7 linked regions of the Macaca fascicularis genome follow. The protein of the gene in region 1 interacts with the protein of each later gene in a pairwise test. Links are inferred from orthologs where the notes say so. Each region holds a gene or a part of one and is shown in the gene's direction. Other genes may lie near its edges.

The links.
Region 2: the proteins of CRX (region 1) and CCNC interact in binary tests that used the Homo sapiens proteins (3 or more experiments, as listed by UniProt). The two-hybrid records come from large-scale screens. The link is inferred for Macaca fascicularis from reciprocal best matches to the Homo sapiens genes CRX and CCNC.
Region 3: the proteins of CRX (region 1) and LONRF1 interact in binary tests that used the Homo sapiens proteins (3 or more experiments, as listed by UniProt). The two-hybrid records come from large-scale screens. The link is inferred for Macaca fascicularis from reciprocal best matches to the Homo sapiens genes CRX and LONRF1.
Region 4: the proteins of CRX (region 1) and M1AP interact in binary tests that used the Homo sapiens proteins (3 or more experiments, as listed by UniProt). The two-hybrid records come from large-scale screens. The link is inferred for Macaca fascicularis from reciprocal best matches to the Homo sapiens genes CRX and M1AP.
Region 5: the proteins of CRX (region 1) and GCM2 interact in binary tests that used the Homo sapiens proteins (3 or more experiments, as listed by UniProt). The link is inferred for Macaca fascicularis from reciprocal best matches to the Homo sapiens genes CRX and GCM2.
Region 6: the proteins of CRX (region 1) and BANP interact in binary tests that used the Homo sapiens proteins (3 or more experiments, as listed by UniProt). The two-hybrid records come from large-scale screens. The link is inferred for Macaca fascicularis from reciprocal best matches to the Homo sapiens genes CRX and BANP.
Region 7: the proteins of CRX (region 1) and QRICH1 interact in binary tests that used the Homo sapiens proteins (3 or more experiments, as listed by UniProt). The two-hybrid records come from large-scale screens. The link is inferred for Macaca fascicularis from reciprocal best matches to the Homo sapiens genes CRX and QRICH1.

What each region holds. Positions count from the first base shown.
Region 1 is NC_088393.1:55,829,273-55,833,268, forward strand, and holds the start of CRX (cone-rod homeobox protein), read left to right. Parts: upstream 1-1,196; 5' UTR 1,197-1,275; intron 1,276-3,996. UniProt on the Homo sapiens protein: Transcription factor that binds and transactivates the sequence 5'-TAATC[CA]-3' which is found upstream of several photoreceptor-specific genes, including the opsin genes.
Region 2 is NC_088378.1:75,758,689-75,762,188, forward strand, and holds part of CCNC (cyclin-C), read left to right. Parts: intron 1-512; coding exon 513-548; intron 549-950; coding exon of another isoform or gene 951-974; exon of another isoform or gene 975-1,115; intron 1,116-1,233; coding exon 1,234-1,325; intron 1,326-1,958; coding exon 1,959-2,026; intron 2,027-2,135; coding exon of another isoform or gene 2,136-2,146; exon of another isoform or gene 2,147-2,220; intron 2,221-3,500. UniProt on the Homo sapiens protein: Component of the Mediator complex, a coactivator involved in regulated gene transcription of nearly all RNA polymerase II-dependent genes.
Region 3 is NC_088382.1:12,685,945-12,689,897, reverse strand, and holds the start of LONRF1 (LON peptidase N-terminal domain and RING finger protein 1), read left to right. Parts: upstream 1-1,153; 5' UTR 1,154-1,196; coding exon 1,197-1,917; intron 1,918-3,953.
Region 4 is NC_088387.1:47,298,671-47,302,170, forward strand, and holds part of M1AP (meiosis 1 arrest protein), read left to right. Parts: intron 1-286; 5' UTR 287-338; coding exon 339-578; intron 579-3,500. UniProt on the Homo sapiens protein: Required for meiosis I progression during spermatogenesis.
Region 5 is NC_088378.1:162,067,661-162,071,792, forward strand, and holds the start of GCM2 (chorion-specific transcription factor GCMb), read left to right. Parts: upstream 1-1,332; coding exon 1,333-1,422; intron 1,423-4,132. UniProt on the Homo sapiens protein: Transcription factor that binds specific sequences on gene promoters and activate their transcription. Through the regulation of gene transcription, may play a role in parathyroid gland development.
Region 6 is NC_088394.1:83,903,431-83,906,930, forward strand, and holds part of BANP (protein BANP), read left to right. Parts: intron 1-1,241; coding exon 1,242-1,358; intron 1,359-3,039; coding exon 3,040-3,215; intron 3,216-3,500. UniProt on the Homo sapiens protein: Controls V(D)J recombination during T-cell development by repressing T-cell receptor (TCR) beta enhancer function. Binds to scaffold/matrix attachment region beta (S/MARbeta), an ATC-rich DNA sequence located upstream of the TCR beta enhancer.
Region 7 is NC_088376.1:112,079,671-112,083,939, reverse strand, and holds the start of QRICH1 (transcriptional regulator QRICH1), read left to right. Parts: upstream 1-1,469; 5' UTR 1,470-1,623; intron 1,624-1,942; exon of another isoform or gene 1,943-2,999; intron 3,000-3,107; 5' UTR 3,108-3,167; intron 3,168-4,269. UniProt on the Homo sapiens protein: Transcriptional regulator that acts as a mediator of the integrated stress response (ISR) through transcriptional control of protein homeostasis under conditions of ER stress.

The sequences.
Region 1 (3,996 bases):
GAGACACAGAAAGAGAGGGAAAGAATAAGAGAGACCAAGGTGGTAATGCAGGTTCATCAACAAAGACAGGGACGGAGAGGAGCAGATGGAGAATGAAAGAGGGGTATTCAGGCGAGCAGGCAGAAATGCCACAGCCTGAGGCCCAAAGGAAAAGAAACTGAGGTCCAGAGAAACCAGACAAAGACCAATGGTGTGTAGAGAGATGGCAAATGCTGGGTGCGGTGGCTCACGCCTGCAATCCCAGCACTTTGGGAGGCTGAGGTGGGAGAATCCCTTGAGGCCAGGAGTTTGAGGCCAGCCTGGGCAACATAGAGAGACTCCATCTCTACGAAAATGAAAAAATTAGCTGGGCATCGTGGTGTGTGCCTGTAAAGTCTCAGCTACTTGGGAGGCTGAGGAGGGAGGATCCCTTGAGCACAGGAGGTCAAGGCTGCAGTGAGCCGTGATCATGCCACTGCACTCCAGCCTGGGCGATAGAGTGAGACCCTGTCTCAAAAAAGAAAAAAAACAAAAAAAACCCCAAACCTCAAACTCCACCAAAAACAGAAAAACGAAACACCCTTTCTAATGTCTGCCTATTTTCAGTGCTGGGAGCAGCCCCCGCCCCCACCACTGCCCCCCAAAAGAGGATAATATCATGTCTGACAACACAGAGACAGACAGGCCACAGGCAGGAGTTGATCAAGTCAAAGAAAGAGAAACAGGGGAAACTGAGGCAGAAACGGAGAACAATGAGGCAGTACAGAGATAAACTAACTGTCAGACAAACTGTTGTGCAGAGAAAGGGGGACCCAGGAGAGGGATCCCGAAAGCCCCGTGCCACTCTTTTTTCAGATGGTCTCTCAGGACCCTCTGACAGTTCTCTCCTTCCTCTTTGATGCCTCTCTCTTGGGATACCAGCTGAAGCTGGAGAGACACCAGTTAGACCAAAGGAAGGACTTCCCTGAGGAGTAGGGGCTTATGGTCACCGGCAGGAGCTGGGGCCTCCCTTCCCCGTCAACCCTAATTGCCAAGATGTCATGGGGGGAAGAGGAGGGGATTAAGCAGACGGGTGCCCCTCCCCCTTCCAGCCAATGTCACCTCCTGGTGCCCAGTCGAGTCCCCCACCTTGGCCAGGATTACCCTCCGAGATCCGGGCCATGACAAATGACATCACTCCCAGCCCGGGCTTAAAATCTCCCCATGTGAGGGGACGTGTTTCCTTCAGCCTCTGCTGTCTGGCCGCTCTGTCTAGGTCCTGGGCCACCAGGAGAGCCCCGTCCCTCCTTTCTGAAGGTGAGCGTCTGCAGGAGAGGCGGAGGGGACCGAGGAAGGGAGAGGGAATGGGGGAGAAGAAAGAGAGGGGAGAAGTTGGGTTTATTTTATTCATGGCTGTGTTTGCCGTGCTCTGCAGGTGACATTTGCTGAATAGTCACACACAAAACAGAGGTGTCATCCTGGTGTTTGGGGGAAACAGGGCTGGGATGTGATTGCAGCAGGAGGGAGTAAGGTTAGACAGCAGGGACTGGCCCACGGCACTCAGGGCATTGGAGGATTCAGGGTGGCTTGTGGGCGCCCTCAAGCCCTGACAGCATCCGGGGTTGGGGGCTTCTCACCGTGGTTCTAAGGCAACTCCTCAGCACACCGTTCTGTTGGATTTTCTTTAAAACTCTTAGCACTGCCCAAAATTTTCATTTGCGCAATGATCCACAAATGGCCGGTCTCCCTCCCTTGCTGAGCATTGATTTCTCCCCAGTGCCCCAGCGTGTGGCTGGGATTTGCCTACATATGTGTTGCGTAGATGGATGGATGAATGACAGACAAGGGACGGAACGGACATAGACGCAGAGAGCCCAGGTCTGTGGCTGCAGCAGGCAGGAGTCCGGGTGGACTTGGGCCTGCTCGAGGGAGCTGGAAATGTGATGACTGGGGATCACTGTGCAGGTGAATTGATCACTTGGGGCCTCGACGCACCCAGAGGCTCCGGCTTTCAGCCCAGGCTCTACTTTGGGGTTCCTCACGCTCCTGCTGTCTTAGCTTCCAGCACAGTCACTCTTTCTGATCTTCTGCAAAGCTGTTTTTTTGGAGATGAAGTCACGCTCTGTTGCCCAGGCTGGAGTGCAGCGCCATGATCTCCACTCACTGCAACCTCCACCTCCTGGGTTCAAGCAGTCCTCCCACCTCAGCCTCTTGAGTAGCTGGAACTACAGGCGCGTGCCACCAGGCCCAGCTATTTTTTGTATTTTTAGTAGAGATGGGGGGTCTTTCTATGTTGTCCAGGCTGGTCTCGAACTCCTGACCTCAAGTGATCTGCCCGCCTCAGCCTCCCAAAGTGCTGGGATTACGGGCATGAGCCCCTGCGCCTGGCCGGTCTCCTGCAAAACTCTGATTGACACTTTGTTCCTTGTCTGCCCCAGTCAGGAGGACTGGGGCCTTGTCTGTCTTGTTCTCGGCTGTATTCCCAGTGCCTGGGTCAGTCCTAGACACACAGTGAGTGCTCACTGAATATGGAGGGAATGAATGAATGAATGTATGAATGAATGGATGGATGAAGGGCAGAGGGTAGAATCAGGTAGACAGACTGCCACAGAGAGGAGGTGTGATGCGGTTTTCCCAAAAGGACCGAGCGAGGGCTGAGATGGCCACAGAGTGAGGTCTGACTTCAAGGCTGCCCGCTGTGTTTGAATTTCTGGATGCTCCAGGGATCACATTGTTGATCACTGAGTTGATTTGCTCAGACTCTAACTGTGCCATGGGTCTCGGCTTCCCCCAGGTCTCATGCCCGGCAGTGGGTGCATCCACCCAGCTCCTTATCCCCACTGGACAGAGGTGCCAACAGAGGCTGCAGAGAGGCTGGAGTGGCTGACAAGAGAGGGCCCTGAACGTGGTTGGGCTGGGAGGGTCTTCCCAAAGGCTGGCATGAAGCCACATGAGTCTGTTTTTTTGTTTTTTGTTTTTTGTTTTCTGTTTTTGCGATGGAGTCTCGCTCTGTCACCCAGGCTGGAGTACAGTGGCACGACCTCGGCTCACTGCAACCTCCACCTCCCAGGTTCAAGCGATTCTCCTGCGTCAGCCTCCCAAGTGGCTGGGATTACAGGCACCCACCACCATGCCCGGCTAATTTCTGTATTTTTAGTAGAGACAGGGTTTTACCATGTTGGCCAGGCCGGTCTCGAACTCCTGACCTCAGGTGATCCACCCACCTCCGCCTCCCAGAGTGTTGGGATTACAGGCGTGAGCCACCGCGCCCTGCCGAGTCTGGGTTTAAACCCTGTTCTTTTCTCACTGTGTGGCCTTGGACCCCTCACATGGGCTCTCTGGGTCTCGGTTGCCTCCTGTGCAAAGTGGGGACAATGAGAAGCTGTCACGATGATCCAGCCAGATAAGCCATGGGAACCCCGTGTTGCGGGCCTGGCCTGCAGTGGGAGCAGGGCAGGATACCAGCTTCATTCTGTTTCTGGGGTCCCCAGGTAGACTTGAGGGTGAAGAGCGGGGCTCTGGGGCCAAAGAGATTTAAATTCTACCCCTGGTTCTTCCACTCATCACCTGTGTGACCTCGGGAATTGACGAAACCTCTCTCAGCCTCAGTTTCCTCCTCTGAGAAAGGGACCTCTGAGCTCCGTGGGGCTGTGGTGAGTGTCCTAAGAAGCCATGTCGCCTGGTGGTCAGGAGGGCACAGGCTCCGGGGCAGGTGCTGGCCCAGCCCTGGCTCTGCCGCTGATGTGCGAGACAGAACTGGAGACTCCACTTCCCTCAGCCTCAGTTTCCTCCTCTGTAAAGCCGGGATGATACCAGGAGCCGCCTCGGAGGAAGTTTCCATGGGGTTATGGTTCCCTGAGATCTTGTTCCCAAGGTCCGTGGTGCATGCAGTGTGTGAGAAGCTGGGACCCCCTGGAAGTCCTTAAGGTCTTCAGCCACCTGACCTGTGGGCACCTCCCTCCCTCCCAGGCTCAGTCTCCCCTGCTGTAGAACGGAGTTATCTGCGTGTCTGCCCCATCAGGTGGCTGTGAGCTTTCA
Region 2 (3,500 bases), on another chromosome or scaffold:
CCCAACATTGGTACTGTGTAAAAGCTCCCAGGTGATACTACTATTCAGCTGGGATTAAAAACTAATGGAACAATATGAAATATAAGGTGAGTTTTTATTGACATTTTAATAGGTATGTCCTTTTTCCACCTTGCAAGGGATTTGTTTATTCTCTTTAAGTTACATTTTTTTAATTAAGTAGAAATAATTGTATTAGAAAGTATACTGGAAAATCTGATGGTTTTACAGGATATTTTAAATAAAAGTGAGTAATAAGAATGATTGTGAGAAGCTGGCTTTTCCTTACAAGGATTAAAATCTTTATAATCATAATTGCATGTATAATATAGTAATTTTTTATTGCAGATATTTATTTTAATATAAACTATGTTTATTGTCTGGATTTTAAAAACTTTTTAGTAAACATTTTTAATAATTACTATAATGTCTGTAATTTATGTTAGATTAAGTGGATGGACTTATCTAATTTGGTTTCATATTAACATTTCATTGATAATCTTTGTTTTCAACAGATATTAGAATGTGAATTCTATCTTTTAGAACTAATGGTAAGTAAATCTTCTGTGATTAATAGATTAAAACATTTTTAAAATTTAATGAAGTTGGAAATTATTTAAAGAAATTATTTTAGGGAGGTACATTTTAAAACCATCCACCTGATATGTGATGGTGAAATCATGGTAGCCTATTTATATTAGCATCTAGAGTCTCTCTGATGCCTGTAAAATAATTTGTATATCCTACTTAGGGATGAGAAAATTTTTCTGTTCTATAGTAAGTAACTATAATGAAAGGATTACAAACAGACAAGTCAGGACATTAAACCACCGTAAATTATGTGCACAATTTGTGTGTGCGTGCAGTGTTATTTAAAGATAGATTATGTCTTTGGCAGAATTCTGCTCCTCCAGTTGGGAATTATGGATTTATAGGCTAATAAGAGGTTTCAGTGTGTTGCAGATGTGACACTTTGAGTCTCTAAGGGAATGAATGGATGCTGACTGACTGCCAACCGATTTATCAAGGTATATTCCAGAGAGAGCACTGCCTTCACTATTATAGTAGAGTTTAGGGCTGTCATACTGCTTGCTTAAGAGAATAAAAGGGAAGCAAGCATGAGTTAGTGAAATTCACTTTGAAATACACAATTACAAATCAGTTGGGTAATGATAACATTTTTGTGTTGTAATAAATCTGTTTTTTATACATACACATTTTTTAAACTGTTTCTAGGATTGTTGCTTGATAGTGTATCATCCTTATAGACCTTTGCTCCAGTATGTGCAGGACATGGGCCAAGAAGACATGTTGCTTCCCCTTGCATGGTAATTAGAACAGAAGTTATTAATAGTGTAACGTGTTATTAGATAGGAAGGTTGACAATTAAATATGAAGTCCAGTATATTTAAAGTCATTAAACTATTGCCCCAAGATATTTTATGTTGAGCAAAATACCACTTGTTGAATTTTAATAACTATAGTGGTGTAAATGCCAAAATGAAAACAATCCTAAATTATCTGTTCCATAAATATACCTATTGAAATTTAATTTTATACAAAACACAGACTGTTAACATAAAAATTAAGACTGAAGCTATCTTTAAAGTAATCAGAATACTTTTTGGTAGTATGCAACATACATACAAATTTACTGTATAATTTCTGTTTTTCTAATTTGATTTTTCAAAAATTAGAAAAATGTGTTTATAATTTGTTATGAGATTTTGAAATTTAAAATATATTTAGCTGTAATTTTATTCATTGATACGTGCTTATTTGTTATCACATTCATGTATCCATCCTTTTGCCTTGATGTTTTCACTTTTATAGCTGTGCTTCAGTAATATAAAAGGAAATAAATGTGTGCAAAGATGAGAAATCTGGCCCTCTCTGGAGGAAATGTACAACCAGATGAGGTAGTTCTGCTTTCAGTAATAATATGATTTACATTTCTATAGGAGGATAGTGAATGATACCTACAGAACGGATCTTTGCCTACTGTATCCTCCTTTCATGATAGCTTTAGGTATGTAAGCATGGTGTGCCTTTATTAGTTAAATTAGTTATAAACCTATTTAGGTCATCCTAAACTAAATTTCACCCTGTTGTACTTTGTGTTTTTATGTTCCATGAAGTAATAGACTAATCCTTGCATGTGAACTTTCAATAATATGAACTGCAACTGTCACAAATCAGGATTATTATTCCCCCACCCCCTTTTTTTGGTAAGTTTTTTTTTTTAAACCATTCAAAATAGTTTTAATCAGTGTCTGAATAGAACATATTTGTTTATTTAGAGGGAAAAGTTCAGAATTAAGCCAGCTAATATTAGTTGTAGCATGTAAAATAATTGGGCCTTTCATATCTTGAGCCCAAACAAGTACTCAGAGGTTGTGTAAAGGAGCATCTGTGGTCCATAATGCTTGGCTGGAGGAAGAAGTTAGATACATTCATTCTACTGTCTGTGGAAAGCAGTGCTGTAATGGGTGGAGTCAGATAGTCCTAGGCTTAAACTTTACTTCCTTTACAATTGTGGGAAAATTATCTGACCTTTCCGTGTTTGTTTCCTTAATTGTAAAATGGAGAGAATACTAGTAATTCCACTGAGCCATTTGAAGAATTAAATGAGATAGCTTGTACAGCACCAAATAATGCCTGTTATATATTGGGCACTTGTTAATTTTGTTCCTTTTCCTTCTGTTGATTTTTTTTTTTTTTGAGATGGAGTCTCGCTGTCTCCCAGGCTGGAGTGCAGTGGTGTGATCTCAGCTCACTGCAACCTCTGCCTCCTGGATTCAAGCGATTCTTCTGCTTCAGCCTCCTGAGTAGCTACAGGAGGATTATAGGTATGCACCATCATACCTGGCTAATTTTTGTATTTTTAGTAGAGATGAGGTTTCACCATGTTGGCCAGGCTGGTCTTGAATTCCTGACCTCAGGTGATCCACCCTCCTTGGCCTCTCAAAATGCTGGGATTACAGGCATGAGCCACCGTGCCCAGCCCCTTCTATTGATTTTTATAACTCCATCCTCTTGATTTTCCCCTCTTATTTTCCATTGGTTTGTCTTTGTTCAGTTGTTAATTATTCCTTAAATGTTGATGTTTCTTGGCCTTCTTACATCAGGGCTGACAAATAGGTTATACTTACACTCCTCTATTACTGGCAGCTCCCTGAAAGGACTGGATTTGAAAGGATTTTTGAAGTGGTGTCTGGGTTCAGCGGGTACGAATACTGGGATCTCTATAGGTAGGAAGGAAGGGATAACAACATGTGTCACATCTTTGCCATCCCTGCAGTTTTCTTCTTGGGTACTTTCCATGAGATTCATGGCTTCTACTATCACTTATGTGCTGAAACATTTAAATTTCTTTATTTAGCCAAGATCTTGCCACTTTTCAGTTCTTTATATCCATCTTCCTTTTACATAGCTCCACTTGGCATCCCAGCAGCACCTCAGCCTCATGATGAGGATTGAGCTCATCACTTTGCCCCAAAATA
Region 3 (3,953 bases), on another chromosome or scaffold:
ATACGATCAGTCTAACGTAGTAACATAATAGTGGAATAGACGTGATCTTAAAATCTATATTAGCTGTGTGATTTTTGACAAATAACTTTCCCTCTGTTTCCCATCATTTGAAAAAGGACTAAAAGTTCTAAGTGACTCCTAACATTAACAATCTAATACCCTATAATCAAATCTATAAATATTTTCAGCGGAGAGCTTTAAACTTGCCGCTGTGAAGTTTAAGGGAAATAGCACCTATTATATATCAACCCCATCATTTTCTTCTGTTGGCAAAACTGCAGACCCTGCTTGGGTTGTAGTAATACGGTGACCGCCACGTGAAAAACATTTTTCTCGGTGTTTTCTTTTAAATATGCCAACTATAGACTTTAACCAGCTGTAAGGCAGTGCCTGAGGTGTGGAGACACCTGAGGAACTGTGTGGGCTTTCTCCCTCGAGGTGGGCCTACGATGAGTTTTAAGCAAAGGGCAGCAGTCACCTGGCACCAGGAAAAACTCCTTGCCCTCTGGAGGGAGTCGCCCCAGGAACGTGGGTTTTGTGTTCCTGTTTAAAGTTGAGTCCTCTAGAACCGAAGAGTCCCAGACATCTGCCGAAGGTGCCCTCCCAGGCCCCCTGCTTGGGAGCGCCCACCTGGAACCTGGGCATAGAGGAATGAAAATGCAGACCCGCACAAGCGTGAGGACACGCCGGGAGACCCCCGCCCGCCAGGAGTTGGGGCAGGTCCGGCTTGGGCGGGGGCGTCGGGGGAGGGGTGGTGACCCTGAGTCCCGCGCGGCAAGGGCGCGGGCCACCGCAGGTGGGGGCGTCGGCGAGCAGGCAAGCGGGGACGGAGACTCTGGGCTCCATCGGGCTTTGTTCCGTCACGAGCCGAGCCCTCCTTTCCGGAGAAGCCAATTAGATCTCCGACGGAGGAATCATCCGACCTGCGCCCCCGCCGGGAGGGGGCTCGGGAGGGGCGGGGCCCAGCGCTTGGCTCCTCGCGAGCGCGGCCGCGGGCTGCGTGGGGGAGTCCCGGCGCCGTCGCCGAGCCCGGCCCCGCCCTCGCCAGGCCCCGCCCTCGGGGCTTCCCGGGCGCGCGCCGCCCCGCCGTGTCCGCGCGCCACGCCCCCCTGCTCGCGGGCCGCGTGCGGAGCCGCGCGCCCGGGAGGCTCCCGGACCGTGGCGGCGGGCGGCGGCAGCGCAGCCCTCCGCGGGCCATGTCCTCTCCGGCGGTGGCGAGGAGTTCCCCGGGAGGGAGTCGGGAGATGGCCCCGGCGCCGCAGGGCCGAGGCCGGTTCTGGGAAGTGGGCGGCGGCAGCGGCCTTCGGCTGGAGCGCGCGGCCGCGGAGTCGGAGCGCTGGGAACTGCTGCTCCGCCGCGGGGAGCTGCTGGCGCTGGGCGGCCACCTGAAGGGCGCGCTGGAGGCGTTCGCGGCGGCGCTGCGCCGCGGGGCCCCGGCCAGGCCCGAGTGCCTGGGCGCCCTGGTGGACTGCCTGGTGTTCAACTACCGGCTCCGCCACGGGCTGAGCTGGAGCGCGGCCCCGGCTGCGGGCGCGGACGGCGGCGCCTGCGGGCTCCTCAGATGCCTGGGCTGCCGGGGCTTCCTGAGCGAGCCGGTGACCGTGCCCTGTGGCCACAGCTACTGCCGCCGCTGCCTGCGGAGGGAACTCCGCGCCCGCTGCCGCCTCTGCCGGGACCGGCTGCCGCCCGCCACCGCCAGTGCCACTGATGCTGAAGGGACCGCCCCGCGGCCGCCGCCTCTGGCAGCCGCCATCGCCGCCTCAGACTTCAGAACCAGCGTCGTCCTCAACCACCTGGCCGAGAAGTGGTTCCCGGGCCAGCGCGAGCGGGCCCGGGCGGCTGGCAGACTCGGGGAGCTGCTACACCAGGGGCGCTACCGGGAGGCCCTGGCCGCCGCCTGCGAGGCGCTGCGAGCAGGTGACCGCGCGGGGATGCGGCGGGGCCGGGCCGACCGCACCCTCCTGGCCCCGAGGGCCGGGGACCCGGAGCTTGTCTGCGTCCCGGGAGTCTCCTCTGCTTCCCCGGGGCCGCTGGGCCACTGGCGTGTTGGGTCTCGGGGTGCTGGGGGGTGTGGGAGGGGGCGGCGCCCCGGGGTGCTTCGGTCACAATGGGGATCGCCCTGGGAGCCGACTGTGACGCAGCGCGGGGAGGGGCGCTCGGCGCGGGGTTCCCTCGGCCGCGGCCTGGCCGTCGGGCGCGCGCTCCGGGCGCGGAGTGGGTGACCGGAGCCGTGGGTGCCCCGGCGCGGGATGGGTGGGAGCTGGGCTATCCCGAGCGGCCGCTCGCTTCCTGCCGCGCGCTTTCCGGGAATTGACTCTCTCGCGCCAGGCCCGCCGCGGGGAAACGACTGCCGGGGTGGGGAGAGAATCCCCCACGAGGACAACTAGGCCGGGAAGGCGGCGTCTCCCTTCCTCACCCACAAAAGTCACCGGGACAATTGGGAGCCGCGGGAGGGCAGAATTGCATAAGCTGGGGGCGGGGGTCGTTGTGTAACGGGTGACGTCCGGTGGGCGTGGCGGGAGCTCCGGGCGGGCACCCGGCCCCGGGAGGCCCCGCAGGCCGCCGGGCTTGGGGCGCGGGGCGGAGCTGCCCCGGGTGGTCCCTTGCTACCTGGAAATGCCTGAACTGGTTTCTCTCGAAAGTTTCAGCCGGCCTGTTTCAGATCATGCTTATTTCCTATGTACTTTGCAGTGCACCTAGCTTATGGTAAAGATGAGAGGGGCTTCCTGATCCAGAGTTCTTTGCCACGCTTCTCTTGGCCGTTCCACTTAGGATCAAGCTGTGGGGAAAGGCCTTGTAGGTCTTGAGTGCATTTCTTAGTCTCCAGGAAGCAGCCTCGGCCTCCTAACCTAGGTTAGCTAGCACTTTCTTCTTAAGGTGGTTTTAGGCGCTGAAAGGGGGCAGTGTCAAGCTTCTCTTATGTAAAAGGAAGAGTTGTTCTTTAAATCAGTAGTTCTTTACCAGCCGGATTTACCTCCCCTCTCTCAGGGGACATTATCTAGAGCAATATCTGGAGACATTTTTGGTTGCCACCTCTTGTGGGGGTGGTGCTGGTACCGACATCTAGTGGGAGAGGCCCGGGGTGCTGCTCAGACATCCTATGAGGCACAGCAGGATTCCCACAACAAAGAATTATCAGGCCCCAAGTGCCACTGTTGATAAACCTTGTGTTACGCGTATTTCAAGATTTTAGTGTCTATCCATTGGCATGATAGCTGGGGGAATGGCATGATAGTTGGGGGATAGTTGGGGGAATAATCCCCAAGAAAATAGACATCTAGAATAGCAGCTGACTTTAGGTATTACAGGTAAATTTATAGACTGTGTAACTGAAAGGATCATCTTTCGGGTCATCTTTTGTCCCAAGTGCTTAGTCATATTGAACTTACGTCAAGATCTTGCATTGTTTAATATCTTCAGAGTTCGAAGCACAAACACCGGAGATTTTTGTATTCTTTCAGTGCCTTTATGAGGAGTAGGCAGTTATAAAATAGAAAGATAGGCTCAGAACAAAAGAAAAGTGTTTGGAATACAGAATTCTGATACGGATGACTCTGTCCCTCTGGGTGAATAAAGAGAAGAGAAACTGGACTCCGCTGTACAGACCATCTAGTAACTGACCATGGTATGATTTTTAAAGCAAAGAAGCAGATGCCAGGCAGTGAAGACTTGCGCACAGTCACAGTGTTAACTGGTTGAGAGGCAGCGCTGTATCTTCCACTTCTCCTAAACGTTGGTCTAGGGTTCATCCTGCCTTATAGCTTATCTGATGAAAATGTTTATTATACATATCCAAAGAAGTTTTTTTGGTCACTGAGGCTGAAACTTATGGACAGTACTACTGATACAGTGATTCGACCTTAAATTAGGTGTTTCACAAGAATCCAGGTCCTGGGCCATGGAAGAACAGTGAACACATTTGCTAATTGAGGTCTAGCTTAACATTTTGTGAC
Region 4 (3,500 bases), on another chromosome or scaffold:
TGCTTGTAATCCCAGCTACTCAGGAAGCTGAAGCAGGAGAATTGCTTGAACCTGGGAGGCGAAGGTTGCAGTGAGCCAAGATCGTACCACTGCACTCTAGCCTGGTGACAGTGGGAGACTCTGTCTCAAAAAAAAAAAAAAAAAAAAAAAAAAGGATGGCCTGGACAAGCTTTAGTACCCAATCTGACTCCTTTCTGGATTGTTTCCCTCAACTTGCGTTTTATATTTCAACAGAGCACACACAATTCAGTTTGAAAACCAGTGGTTTCTCTTTCCTTCGCTATAGGTGTAAACAATATCCAGCTGGTGGCTACAGTTCTGCCTCTGGTTTTGCTGCCATGCATCCTGGGCGAACTACTGGTAAAGGGCCCTCCACTCACACTCAGATTGACCAGCAACCTCCACGGCTTCTCATTGTGCACATTGCTCTACCGTCCTGGGGTGATATCTGCGCCAACCTCTGTGAGGCTCTGCAGAACTTCTTCTCTCTAGCCTGCAGTTTGATGGGCCCTAGCCGCATGTCCCTGTTCAGTTTATACATGGTACAAGATCAGCATGAGTGCATCCTCCCTTTTGTGGTATGTATATCTATATTTATTCATTTTATCCTGAAAAGAGATACAGTGGTAAGGTTTCTGGAATAGAGATCACAGTTATTAACACTTACAACAATAACCCCACTACTTCTCCACACACTGTAGCCCCCGAGTGACACCATGAGAGCCAGAGGACATCCTGCATATATAGGGGTATGCACTGTTGAAGAGAAACCCCAAAATTATTAATCTGGGAGTATAAATAGGCTACAAGCTGCCCCTTTCCACTCCAGAGAGAGGGAGAGAAACCTTGGCATTGACAGATGTTTGAAATGTAAACAACTGACTCCTTTTATGCCCTTTGAAATGTAAACACACAAGGAGGGAAGCCTCTAAATCTCTTCTGAGGTCTCTGGCTATTCAATCATCTTTTAAATTACAAGACTTGCCCTTTAACCCAGGTACCAGTTTTCTTTGCTCAGAAAGCCCTAACTATGCAAAAACATGAAAATATTTTTTCTACATTCCACATAGACTCAGGTGAAACTGTCCCCTAGGGTTATGGAAGGCAATCACTGGGCCAGGGGCAGTGTTTTTACAAAGCTCCTTCATACATAAACAATTATCTATGCTCCTCTTCAAAATTTCAATCTTCCCTTTCTCCCTTGTATAAAATTCAGAATCATAGTGATGAGAAAGACTTCCAGAGGTTCTATGCATCTCCTTCCTTGAGGTAGCCTTGCTGCTAATATATGTTATCAAACGGATATAAGTCTTATTTAAGATTTCCAAAAGAGGAAATTTCATAAATCCATTGCTGAATTATGAAAGTAATATATGACTGGAATCTATTTATTTTTTGATTAATGCCTTAGTTTCCCTCATTGGAAGTGGAATGATAACATCTCTGTTGATACTATAAAGAATTAAAATAATATATATTACTTTATGCTTCCTGAGTTAGAACATACCCTGGTTGCTTTGACACAACCTTAGGCTTACAACAACTCACGGTTTATTTCTTGACAAAAGTCACACAGGGAAAGTTTTGAGTATAAATGCTCCAAGTGCTAAGTGTGGGGATTTTGTCTGTGCATTGTTACTTAGGCTGGGTTGGGGATGGGAAAAGGATAAAATTATTTAAGAAATTCAACTGATCCTTTCTACGGTTTGAGCATAATTTGGTACCTCTATTCATTATTTATTGCTGTGTAACAAATTATCCCAAAATGTAGTGGTCTAAATTAATAAACATTATCTCATAGTAGCTATGAGTTAGGAATTCATAAGTGGCTTAGGTAGATCAGGCTTGGGGTCCCTCATAAGGTTGTAACCAAGATGTCAGTCATCTGAAAGCTTGATTGAGACTGGAGGATCCAGTTGTAAGATGGCATATTCACTTAGCTGTTGGCAGAAATTCTTATTTCCTGACTACTCGGATCTCTTCAAAGGACTGCGTGAATGTCCTTAATTTGTGGCAGTGGGCTTCTCCCAGAACAACTGATCCAAAAGAGAGGGAGACCAATGAAGAAGCCAAAATATCTTTTATGTCTTAGTCTCAAAAGTAACATGTTGTCACTTCCTGTACATTCTGTTCATTGGAAGCAAGTCACTGTTCCACCCTATATAGAATAACTGCAAGCAGATTTACCCTCCTGCCTAAAACAATAAAAAAAAACTGGATAAAACCTATGAAAAACACTTTTCAAAACAGTGGACATCACGCAGCAAAGAACAAAGCCCCCAGGAGACAGGAAGTAAATGAGGTGGGACTTAGAATTGTCCCAGCTTGCAGATCACCTGAGGTCAGGAGTTCAAGACCAGTCTGGCCAACATGGTAAAACTCCGCCTCTACAAAAATACAAAAATTAGCCAGACATGATGGCGGCTGCCTGTAATCCCAGCTACTTGGGAGGCTGAGGCGGGAGAATTGCTTGAACCTGGGAGGCGGAGGTTGTAGTGAGCCGAGATTGTGCCACTGCACTCCAGCCTGGACAACAGAGCAAGACTCCATCTCAAAAAAAAGAAAAGAATTGTCCCAGCTTACTGCCTTGAGAAAGTTTCCAAACCACAATGCAGAGAGGGAGAACCTAGGGGTGGGCGCCAGTGGTTTCCTCGAGTCAAGGAGATGGATCTGGGACTTAAGGGAGACCAAGTTATTAATAGCTAGAGGAGAAAGAGCTATATAGAGGAAAGGAGAGAGCTACATACAGAACTCTATAAAGACCTGAAGAGGGTCCCCCTTGAGTATTCAGCAGAGTACTGATCAGTACATGCGCATGAGGAAACTACCCAAGGCCAAAGAAGGAGCCACCCTAAAAGACTAGAGACAATGGTGCCTGATACTCACAACTAGAATAGTACCTGTTCTTATCAGCCAAGCTGGAAATCCTCATAATTCATGATACATTGGGTAGAGGACTCAAAAAGATCTTGCCTTAGTAGTAGGGCATAAAATAGCCCAAGACTTAGTACTGCTCAAGACTACCTAACATAAACACAAGATCCTAAGTGTCACACTGTTTCCAGGTAACTTAACTATCCCAGAACAAAGCTCAATAATATTTATAGAAATACAAAACTATCTAGCACCCATTAAGGTAAAATTCATACTGTCTGGCATTCAATCAAAACTTAAATAGGCATGCAAAGAAGCAGGATTTTATGACTTATGAAGAAATTATTAAAGCTGACACAGAAGTAACATAAATGTTAGAATTAGCAGATGAGGACATTAAGACAATTGTTATAATTGGGTTCCATGTGTTCAAAAAGCTAAGTGGAGATATAGAAGATATTTTAAAAGTTCCAAATCAAACTTTTAGAGAGGAAAACTACAATTTCTGGCATGGAAAGTACACTAGATGGAATTATTGACAGATTAGACATTACGAAAAAAAAGATCAGTGAACATGAAGACATAGGAATAGAAACTATCCAAAATGAAACACAGAAAGAAAACAA
Region 5 (4,132 bases), on another chromosome or scaffold:
ACCCCTTATTTAACAGATAAGGAAGCTGAGACCCAGAGGGAGCCAAAGCAGTGGAGAAAGCTAGGAGTTCTTCGGGACTTTACCCCTCTCCCTTTTCCGTCCTTCCCCAGGCTCCTACCTACCCCAGGCTCATTTCCCCCCACCTCCTCCGGGTTCACTTTGTAGGACTCCGTTCCTGCAGGGCCAGGTCCCTCCGAAGTCCCCGGGAGCGCGAAGGCGCCTGGGCTCGCGAGCATACGCGGAGGCGTGGCGCCCGTTCACACATCCCAAACAGCCGAGCGAAGACTCCGAGACACGCACAATAGTTAGGGGAAGAGCCGGCAATGGAGGCCCAAAATGGGCTGACCCGTAACTAGGAGGCATGGGCACGGTTATTCAGCGTAGGGAGCGCGCGGACGGCAGAGGGGCCCATGCACGGTTCCCATGCTCTACTGGAATTGAGTGTTGACTCTCAGGGGACTTTGCTGGAAAGCCTCTGCTTCCAAAGCCTCCATCTAAGCCCCTTTCCGAAATCAGGGAAGCTGGATGCGTTTAGAAAAAAAAAAAAAAATAGGCCGGGTGCGGTTGCTCATGCCTGTAATCCCAGCACTTTGGGAGGCCCAGGCCAGCGGATCACCTGAGGTCAGGAGTTCAAGACCAGCTTGGTAAGGGTTTCGCATGGCGAAAACCTGTCTCTACTAAAAATACAAAAATTAGCCAGGCGTGGTGGCACGGACCTGTAATCCCAGCTACTCGGGAGGTTGAGGCAGGAGAATCGCTTGAACCTGGGAGGCGGAGGTTGCAGTGAGCCGAGATGGCGCCACTGCACTCCAGCCTGGGCAACGGAGTGAGACAAAAAAGAAGAAAAGAGAAGAAAATAATAAGGTTTTAAACTTAAAGGATACATTCCAACTTACCCTCTCCACCCCCACCCCCTGGCTGCAGTTTCCCTTTGCTTCCAGGGCTGAGTTTAACCTCCACCTCCGTTCCTGAGTCTGTGGTGGAGGTGGTGGCTGGCCCCTGGAGCGTGGGCGCTAGCGAGGTAGGCGAAACAGGGCGGAGTCCCCCGGAGATGCATCTTTATAAAGGAGGGATCAGCTGCAGACGTCGATGCTACCGTTCGGGTGGAGACCGTTCAGCACCGCGGCCGAGGACAGGGCCCCGCCCGGGTCCATAACCATTGTCCCCAACTTCCAGATTTCTAAACAATCTCTCTCTCTCTCTCTGCCCCTCCCCTTCACACACATACCCCACTTTCTTCTTTAAAGAGTAGAAAAAAATCACCTGGCGCACCTCTCCTTTTTTCTTCTATTTTTCAGAACCCTGGGCGGAAAGCGCGAGCGAGTTGGGCAGATGCCGGCAGCCGCGGTGCAGGATACGGTCGGCGTGTGCTCATACGGGATGCAGCTCAGCTGGGACATCAACGATCCACAGATGCCTCAGGTAAGTGAACCGGGTGTGTGCGGGCACGCGGGGCGCTGTCTATCCGAAGGAGGGAGGGAGAATGGCATTCAAGTTCTTGAAGAGTCTGCGGACGGACCATACACACACACACACACACACGCACACACACGCAAAATTTCTGGGTTTCTGAGGCCCCCTCAAATGTATAAAGAGAACTGAACTCCACAAAAGGCTGAATTGGGTTTAGAAATGTGTCTTCTCGGCCGGGCGCGGTGGCTCACGCCTGTAATCCCAGCACTTTGGGAGGTCGAGGCGGGCGGATCACCTGAGATCGGGAGTTCAAGACCAGCCTGACCAACATGGAGAAACCCCGTCTCTACTAAAAATGCAAAATTATCTGGGCGTGGTGGAGCACGCCTATAGTCCCAGCTACTCGGGAGGCTGAGGCGGGAGAATCGCTTGAACCCGGGAGACGGAGGTTACTGTGAGTCAAGACCACCCCATTGCACTCCAGCCTAGGCAACAAGAGCAAAACTCTGTCTCAAAAAAAAAAAGGAAAGAAAGAAGAAGAAATGTGTCTTCTCCCAGCAATTTCCTTGTGCTTGCCTGAAATTACGCGGAAAGCAGCAGGAAATGTTGATCAGGCTCCACATTCCCAGTCTTGGGGAGAGCGGGACGCCTGTCCTTTCGCTTCCCGTTAACCAAGGTAGAAATCAGGTGCCTCTCTCCTTATTCATTTACTTTAAATCCATGAGAAAGCTAACGAGAAAATCTAAACAGATGTAAATACCACTGCTTCTCATACAGCAAAACTATGAGGTACAACTATAAAGTGAATCTAATGACCTAAACTTAAAACAAATAGCCAGACTTCAGCAATTTGTTCAGACCTGCCTGACTGCCCAGAGGAAGGAGGCCCCATAGTCATGCCAACGAGGCCATCTGTCCCCGAAACTTACTTCTTCTATAATGACAAGCAAATCATCATTCTTTTAGGGTGAATTCGTTGTATTTTGTATAAAGCATTTTTGTATAAAGCATTTTTGTATAAAGCAAAAATGGTTTGGAGCCAAGTCCAAAGAATGAACTGGGATGGATGAAGTGGTAAATAAAGTGGTTTGAAGCCAATTCCAGAGAATGACCAATTATGCTTGGTCATACTGGTTTGGGCCAAAACTGAGTGACTCTGAAGTCTGGGCTGTGGGGGATGGGGGATGTAGAATGAGAGTTGCTTCCCAGCCATTTACAAATGTGGGCTTCCAGCAATGTTGTGGCACAGGAATAAAAGAGATGTGTCATTTTTTCAGCAACTAAAATGTGCCTGATAGGTGTTCAGATGAATAGTAATTCATTGCAACATTGTGTCGCCTCTCAAAGAGGTCAGCACTTTTTTGGAGCCACACATTTGTAGGTGAGGTGTGTTTTACTCCTTTGTTTTTGTTTGTTTGTTTGGGGTTTTTTGTTGTTTGTTTGTTTTTTGAGATGGAGTTTAGCTCTTGTTGCCTAGGCTGGGTGCAATCGCATGATTTCGGCTCACTGCAACCTCCATCCCCCAGGTTCAAGTAATTCTCTTGCCTCAGCTTCCCAAGTAACTGGGACTACAGGCATGCGCCACCACACCTGGCTAATTTTGTGTTTTTAGTAGAGATGGGGTTTCTCCATGTTGGTCAAGCTGGTCTCAAACTCCTGACCTCAGCTGATCCACCCACCTCAGCCTCTCAAAGTGCTGGGATTACAGGCGTGAGCCACCGTGCCCAGCCCACTCCTTTGTTTTAAAGTCTGCCTACTTTAGAGTCACATGGTACCACTTTCATGAAAGTGGACCACAGTACAGCAAGTGCATCTCATTCTGTTTCTGTCCATGTACATCTTCACAGGAAACAATCATATCTTGCATATTAGAAAATCACATCCAAATAATGTAATTATGGTTCGTCTCTCAAGCATTTGGTAGACTTCCTATGTAAATATGAACTTTGTTTTAGGAGACTGGTTGTTAAGTGGAAGTATGTGTGTAATAGCTCAAAAGGGCCAGGCACACTGGGACATAGTGAAGTGAAGAAACTTAGCATCGCCCTGCTCTGGCTAACCAAGTGAGCGAGTTAAACTACCTGTATGACCTTGAGAGAGTCCTTGAATTTGCCTTAGTCTCAGGCTACTTACCGACTTGTCATCAAGTGGTAGAGTGAGATAACCATCTCAAACTCTCCTCCAGGTCTACGATCAGGTTCAGGTGGAGTGTGTGTGCGTACACACACACACACACACAACATGTCAACACTTTAGAACAAATGAAACCCAATCCTTGACATCCTCTATTCTGATTTTAAAGATAGAGTCTCTGCGGCTCCACTGCCGGGGTCACTACCTCAGTAGCTCGCGTGAGGCATGTGGGCCTAGTCTACATCCTTAAGGGAGAACTAAAGAAAGGCTGTTTTCTGGAAAATTGTCAATTCATTACTAAGATCCTTAAGTTAAAATATTCACTTTGAAAACAAAGATATTAGCATTTAGTATAAGCTTGGAGTTGATAGTACATCATTATATATTTCACTTGTGTCTTACCTTACATTAATGTACTAATTTATGTCAATTGTAATATTTCAGAGAAAAGATAAATAATACCTAATGGTAGTAATAATTATTTCAACAATATCTTTGTAATTTTAGAAACAAAATCACTCATTTACCTTATTACTGTTAGAATGTGCAGTATTCATGATGTATACAAGTCTGAATTTTCCAACTG
Region 6 (3,500 bases), on another chromosome or scaffold:
CATCTCTGAGGAGCATAGGACTGTTGCAGCCTGTAGGTGACTGTGGTGACCAAGCCAGCAGCCACCTGGGCTGCTTTTCATACCCGATCTGTAGGTCATTTATCAGGTTTTGTTGTGTTAACTTTAGGTGTCACCAATAACAAGTAGAGGAATTTTAAAAATAGTATTTTTGAATTAAATGCAGTTGATTATGCCTTTATTTTAGGAAGAAAACCTTGTGGTCCCGTGATTTACTCGGGCATGGCATGGCGCTGTGCTCGCACTCAATGTGGGGACAGTTACAGGGACGCTAGGCTGGATTTTCCTGTGGGCACATCACAGAAAGGCAGAGGCTTCCCAAGCTGGTTTTTGGAGAGTGAAGTTCAAGAACGGTGTTTTATCCTCAGGTGATAACCACTTTGTATTTCAAGTGCTAGTTCCTTCTCTCCCCACCCTTCCACAACAAAGTGTACCTTAGATATCCCTTGTGACCAGAAAGTGCTAAGGCTTAAAAACGCACAATTGAAATCTGTGGGTGAGTCTGCACTTTGAGATGAAGCTGTGTTAGCCCGCCTGTCTGAACACACTAGTGCTTCCTCCAGGGTGGCACCAGGTTTGGTGGTTTCTGGGCCGTGGTTTGTTCTTTGGTAGAATTGTTTCCTTCAAAGCAGAACCCTGAGCCCTGTGGTTGTGGCTCACACATGTTCCTGCACAACCTGGAGGCAGCACGTGTGTCCTTCCATCCCAATCCACTGTGATGTTTGCCCCTTTCTTTCTAGGGCGCTACCGTTTTGGACGATACCAACACTTACATGGTTACGAACGTTAGATCTGTACCATAGGAATTAGTTGGGATGGAGTGACTGAAAATGTCAAGCCGGTTTTCGTGCAAGTGTGTCACCCCAGAAGCTTTATTAACTGGGTGTGATAACAGCTGGTGTGGTCGCAGTCTGTTCTGTGTCACACACTCAGCATCCTCATCCCGGCTGTCCTGAGCCTATCCAGTTGTGCAGACAGAACACCAACAATTAGGAAAGTTACGCTGTTAAAAACCCCATCTCCAGTTTATTCTTCCTTAGCGTTTGGGGCTCCTCCCCGCTCAGGACGGGTCCCTGGGAGTGGACTGTGTTGAATGACTCTTAGGCCTCCCCCTCACTGCGGGTCCCTGGGAGTGGACTGTGTTGAATGACTCTTATGTGCTCTTACCATGAATGTTGTTGTTTTAAGGCCTTCTTTTTCTTTGTGATTCTTTTGTTCCCTAGCGTCGTCCCCCAGACTACAGTAATACTCAACAATGATCGGCAGAACGCCATTGTAGCCAAGATGGAAGACCCCTTGAGCAACAGGGCACCGGATTCCCTGGAAAATGTCATTAGCAAGTCAGTAGCACGGCACCAACCCCACCTTTCCCTGCCACTGTGAGGAGTCCCGTGAGAATAAGTCAACGTCCCCAAGCCAGGGCACAGTCCAGCACGCACTTCATCTCTGTGGTCACAGGGTTGAGCTTGGCAGGCACCGCCCCAGCTCTCTGAGGTCGGGGAGGGCAGGCTGGGTGATGCTGAGTGCTGAGTCCAGCCACACCAGGGGGCAGCTGCCGCCGGGGACTTCCGTGTCTCGTGCTGGCTGGGGTTGTGGAGGGGGCTGGCTCTGTCTCCTCACAGCAGTCAGTGAAAGCATTCATCCTCCCACCTAGCTCAGTGGTCCTGACGTCTGTCTGTCTGTGCAGAGCGTGTCAGGCAAACAGACACCCTCTCCCACGATTGCTAAGTGGTGCAGGCATGTTGAGTTTATGACTTTTTTCTTATGCCTTTTTCTCTTGAGACATTTTGAACGGAACTTGGGTCAGAGGTGGGAGTGGACAGAAGACGCCATCCCTGCCCTGTGTGAGGGGAAGGCTGTGCAGTGGCCTCTGGCTGGCATCCGGGCCCTGCTCTCCCCAGGAGTGCCCCTTAGGGCTGCGTGAACCCCTGAGGATGCTCTTGCTTTTTCTTTCCCATCTGTGTCTTCACAAAGTTCTATTTGCTTTTTCTCTCAGTCTCCTTTGTGGATTGCTCCTCCTCCAGCTTCGTCCCCTTTCCGTATTGTCTTAGCTCAGTTCTCCAGGGCTGCAGCTGTGGTCACGAGGGTCTGATACGTGGGGTGAAGGGAGAGGAGTTGGTGATGGGTGGTGAGGAGGTGCCAGGGTCAGCTGTGCCTCGGGGGCTTTGCGCTGAGGTCAACCAGGCAGATAGCCAGTGTTGAGATCAGGTTCAGCATGGACAGCGCTCTGGAGAACCCAGGCCAGAAAGCGCAGAGTGCAGCCTCCTCTGGGTGCGGCCAGTGTTTTCAGCACCCCTTTTTTTTGACTTTGCAAATAGAGAAATTGTGGTCCTTTCTCTTCTGGTGCGTAGCAGTCCACGGTAGGGGATGTTGAAAGGGTCATTAAAAAAGGGAAGTAGTAAGTCTCTAAATCATCTTTTTTTTGAGCACTTGTGGAGCTGGCCTCGCCCTGCTTTGCTAGCGGTGTTCTGTCTTTCCACATCAGCAGCCCTTGGGATGATGGCAGCTCCGATGGGATCTCAGTGGGTTTTTTAAGCCCCTTCAGGGTTTTTTTGCCTGTGGGCATACTTGGGAGTGCTGCTTGCTTTGCAGAGGCGGAGCCATCTCCAGCACGCCCAGCAGCATGGATCGAATTGACCCAGGCCTCTGGGCACAGTCTTCTGATTTAGTCTTTCCTTTAACCTCGCCTGAAAAAAGACTCCTACCAGCATTCTATAGGTTGACTGCTGAACTCAGAAGGCAGCATACTAGGCCTGAGTCCCAGTGAGTTATGATTTTACTTCTTTTGTGATACAAATATTTTCTTTAAATGGTTAAGTTTTATTTTATACAGTTTCGTTTAGCCCCGGGCCATTTTCTCCTATGGAGTTGCTATTAATCTTGGTAGAGAGAGCGGTCTGGGAAGGCTGTGTGATCCACTGGTCCATGCAGAGTTAGATCTTGTGATAAGGAAAGCACTGACCTTCGCGTGCTGCTTGTGGCTCTTACCACACTGGGTTGGTGTGTTTTTTTCCCGTTCAGCGCTGTGCCTGGGCGTCGGCAGAACACCATTGTGGTGAAGGTGCCGGGCCAAGAAGACAGCCACCATGAAGACGGGGAGAGCGGCTCGGAGGCCAGCGACTCGGTGTCCAGCTGCGGACAGGCGGGCAGCCAGAGCATTGGGAGCAACGTCACCCTCATCACCCTGAACTCAGAAGGTGCGTCCCAGGCGTCTTCTTTCCTTGGCCAGAGCAGCAGGAGGATTTTTGTTTGTTTGTTTTGCTTTTTAGAAATTAATTTAGTTGTTTTTTAAAAAAGTGATACAGTGGCCGGGTGCGGTGGCTCACGCCTGTAATCTCAGCACTTTGGGAGGCCGAGGCAGGTGGATCACCTGAAGTTGGGAGTTCAAGACCAGCCTGGCCAACATGGAGAAACCCTGTCTCTACTGAAAATACAAAATTAACCAGGCGTGGTGGCAGGTGCCTGTAATCCCAGCTACTTGG
Region 7 (4,269 bases), on another chromosome or scaffold:
TAGCCCAGGCTGGAGTGCAGTGGCTCGATCTCAGCTCACTGCAACCTCTGCCTCCTGGGTTCAAGCGATTCTCATGCCTCAGCCTCCCAAGTAGCTGGGATTACAGGTGGGCGCCACCACTCACGAGTAATTTTTGTAATTTTAGTAGAGAAGGGGTTTCACCAAGTTAGCCAGACTGGTCTGGAATTCCTGACCTCAGGTTATCCACCCAACTCGGCCTCCCAAAGTGCTGGGATTGCAGGCGTGAGCCCCTGCGCCCAATTAGCATATAATTCTTTTTTACTTTTGAGACAGAGTCTCACTCTGTTGCCCAGGCTGGAGTGCAATAGCGTGATCTCAGCTCACTGCAACCTCCGCCTCCCAGGTTCAAGCAGTTTTCCTGCCTCAGCCTCTTAAGTGGCTGGGATCACAGGCATGCATCGCCACACTCGGCTAATTCTGTATTTTTAGTAGAGACGGGGTTTCGCCATGTTGGCCAGGCTGGTCTCAAACTCCTGATCTTAGGTGATCCACCCGCCTCGGCCTCCCAAAGTGTTGGGATTACAGGCGTCAGCCACCGCGCCCGGCCCATTCAGCATATAATTTTTGAGTGCCTACTACGTGCCAGACATAGATGAGGCATACGTGCTGTGGTGCCCTTCCAAGTTCACGGGAGGGGAAATGGGTGACCATGCACTGCATGGGAGAGGTCTCCCTGGGGCTTGTGCAAGACTGGAAGAGGTTCCTGACCCAGCCTGGGCCTCAGAAAAGATTACTCTAACGAAGTGACTTCTGAAGGGAATCACGAAAGACTACGGGGAGTTTGCCAGGATAAGAGGAACAAGGGCAAAAGCTCCGAGGCAAAAAGAGTCTGCCTGGAAGCCCTCTGGGGGCAGTGTGGGCTGCTGCTGAGGCCTGAGTGTGCCTGCAGCTTTAACGCCTTCCACATTTTCCCTGTATACAAACACTAGGCTACCCGGGGGCCCGCTTTAAGGTGGACCCAACTGCTGAAGGCTGAACTCAGATGGCAGCAGATGGCGGGAGTTCCAGATGCTGAGTCCTCCAGGAGGTGAGCAACCTAGAGGCTTTCCAGGCAGGGCACGCCTGGGGACGCCAGGCCCAGGACAGAAGTTTGTGGGGTCTACCTTAAGCGAGAGGCCGAGCCCGGCCAGGCCCCGCCCCGCGTGGGGGTGCTCGACCAAAGGAGGCTCTGGCGGGCGACGGAAGGTGGGTCCAAGGAGCTAGCTTGGAGCCCTAGCCTTCCCAGGCTCCACTACTAGGCCAAGTCACGGCCCTAGCTCCACCCCACATGGAGGGACGTCCATGGGCGGAGCGAGCCGTCGATACTCTATGATCCACCATCCGCTTTAGCAGCCAGAGGCGCGGCCAGCCTCCCCTGCTGAAGCGTTCACTTTAAGTCTGGCCGGGAGGCAGTCCCAGATCTCGCGGGACCGACGCCCCGATTCTCGCGAGAGGAGCAATCGACTCCTATTGGCTGTGAGGGTTGAATGTAAGATGGCGCCCAGGGAGCTGTGAGGAGAAAACCCTGTCGGTCTTGGAGCGACGACGGCAGAACCAGGGTCCCTGGCGGTGCGGCGGGGCCGGCGGGTAGAGCGGAGGCGGCGGCGGCGGTGACGTCGCCGGGTGAGGGCTCCAGTGCGGGCGGGGATGCGGCGAGGCTGTGGGCCTGAGTCGGGGAGCCCACCCCACACAACGGCGGGCGGGGGCGGGCGGGGGCGGGCGGGCCGCTACCGCTGGGCCCTGGAGAACTCGGGGCGGCTCCGGAGCCGAAAACGTTCCTGGGCTCGCGCACCCCGCCTTGTGGGTGGGGGAGGGGTGGGCCGGAGATTTGGGTGGGCGCGGCGCGAGATCGCGCGCTGGTGCGGGCGCGCGGCTGAGCCTGTTTTTACGCGCGGGCGCGCGCGCGCTGTGCGGCTCTCGGTGCGCGTGGCCGCCGACGTGCGCGTTCCCGGCCCGGATATCTTTCCTCTAGGAGCTGTGGCCCGTGGGCAAGAGCGGCTTTCCGTGGCGCGCGCCCTTCACAACCCCCCCAGTTTTGGGGCGCGCGCTCTGATGTTGGGTGGCGGTGCCGCCTCGAGAGCGCGCAGGAGGCTTCTGCTGAGCAGAGGGCCGGCCGAGGCTCGTTGTGCGGGGAGGGTTGAGGATTGGGTCCTTTCTGGTCTGGTGACGTTCCCGGGCATCCGTGGCCTCGGCCTGGAAAGAAACCAACCAGCGTTGCTGTCTGGCTTGCGGCTCCACTCCTCTGTGAGCGGGGCGAGATTGCCCGTTCTCCTTAAAGAATGCCGTTACTTGAGGCCCAAGTACGGTGTGGGTGCTTGGGTAGGGTGCTTCTGCTTCGGAAACCAAGCCCTGTTGGCTTGAGAGGGCAGTGAGCCCCTTCGGATTTCCTCACCTTGTACTGGGCTTTGTGCCGGGCAGGGAAGGTTAATATTAGAAGGCCCTTGAGTAGTAGCTGCTTATTTTTCATTAGAAATTAATACGTCCATAAGCGCAATTCATACACGTCACCACTGTGCGCTCCGGAAGGGAATTCGCTTATGTGGACCATGTGAACTCCGAGCTCTAAAATGCCAGTTTAAATCCTTAAACGCAGGCTTTTCTTTTGCGTAGGTGGGAGGGGCTTACTTTAGTCTGTTATACTAAAGGCCCACCTTTGCCTCAGCCAAAAAGTTGACCTTAAAACAAAATTGAACAACCTGAGAATCAGTGCTTTGTCTTTTTTGAAATTGCAGAAATCTCCAAGAGAAATTATTAAAATCTGACAGTGTATGACTGTAAAAGTCACTTTTGATGTAGGATTTCAGTCCTTTTCAGTTCTTTTTTTTTACCCTGCCACTGTGTTTTAGTGTCAAGGAAGTTCTAGGTTTGTCCTAGAGAAATGTGCACCTCTATTTTCTAATACAAAATATCTGCTAGTTTATGATTTACAGTCTTGCTCCATTAAGCTTCAGGAAAAGGAAGCTAACAGGAAGTAAAATTAGCCATCAGATTTGATAATGGTGGGGTAGTTCTTTCTAATGTACTGTATTTTTTTTAAGAACAAAGTTAAAATTATTAATAAAAAGAGGCTGAGGATGGAAGGAACTTTTTTGTTCTATCTTCTTCAGAATATTAGAAGTCTTAAGAACTCAGGACAAGCAGCAGAAATACATGCAACATGGTGACTGGTGAGTTAAAATTGTTCATATGCTGGAAGTATGTGTGCAGTTTTTTTTTCTGGTAATACTGAAGCATTACAAATCCTGTCAATTATTCTGCGTGCTGTCTTCCAGAAACTGTTAGGTGCTGTAAAATGAAGATGGGGGAGAACAGCATCTTTGAACTCAGCCAGTTTGCTACTTGCGCAGTTTTCTCCTGTTAGGATTTAAGTCAGTGGAACCCGCATATTTAAGCATGGCAAGGCATCAGCTTTTAAAAGGACCTAGATGGTTCAAAGAAAAGCTGTAAAGTTTTTCTAGGATACACTTAAAATTTTGATTTTTTTTTTTTTTTTTTTTTGAGACGGAGTCTCGCTCTATCACCCAGGCTGGAGTGCAGTGGTGTGATCTTGGCTCACTGCAGCCTCCTCCGCCTCCCAGGTTGAAGTGATTCTCCTGCCTCAGCCTCCCGAGTAGCTGGGACTACAGGCTTGTGCCACCATGCCCGGCTAATGTTTGTATTTTTGGTAGAGATGGGGTTTCACCATGTTGATCAGGCTGGCCTCGAACTCCTGACCTCGTGATCCACCCGCCCTCGGCCTCCCAAAGTGTTGGGATTACAGGTGTGAGCCACTGCACCCGGCCAAATTTTGATTAGTTTTTTAGGCTTGCTTGTTCTGGGTTATCTTTGTTTTTAACTATTAAGTTTGAGATCTGCCTTGTAAATTGGTGTTTATAAATAATGTTTCTCCAAGTTTGTCAACTAAGATTTACTTATTAGATGTCTTCCTTCGGGTCCTCTCTGATGAAGTATTCGTATACCTCTTTGAGAACCTCTGCAGTTCCACATCCTCTCTCCAGCTTATGTTGTCATTTCAAACTGAAGATCAAATAGTGGCTTAATTTTCTTTTAACTTTGAATTGCTCTAGGAAAGTAACCAAAGTCAGGGGCTCTGGACGTGACTGTCTTTCTTTAAGGCAGCTTCAGAATCAGGGATGTCTTTCCTTACTTTGGATATGCTTTTTTTTTTTTTTTTGTAATATACTTTCTTTTAGTTTAATTAGTTGTGGTTTATATTTGATGTGCCGTGCTTCTTTCTTGTCTGGTTTTTAAATGACCACTCTTGATTTG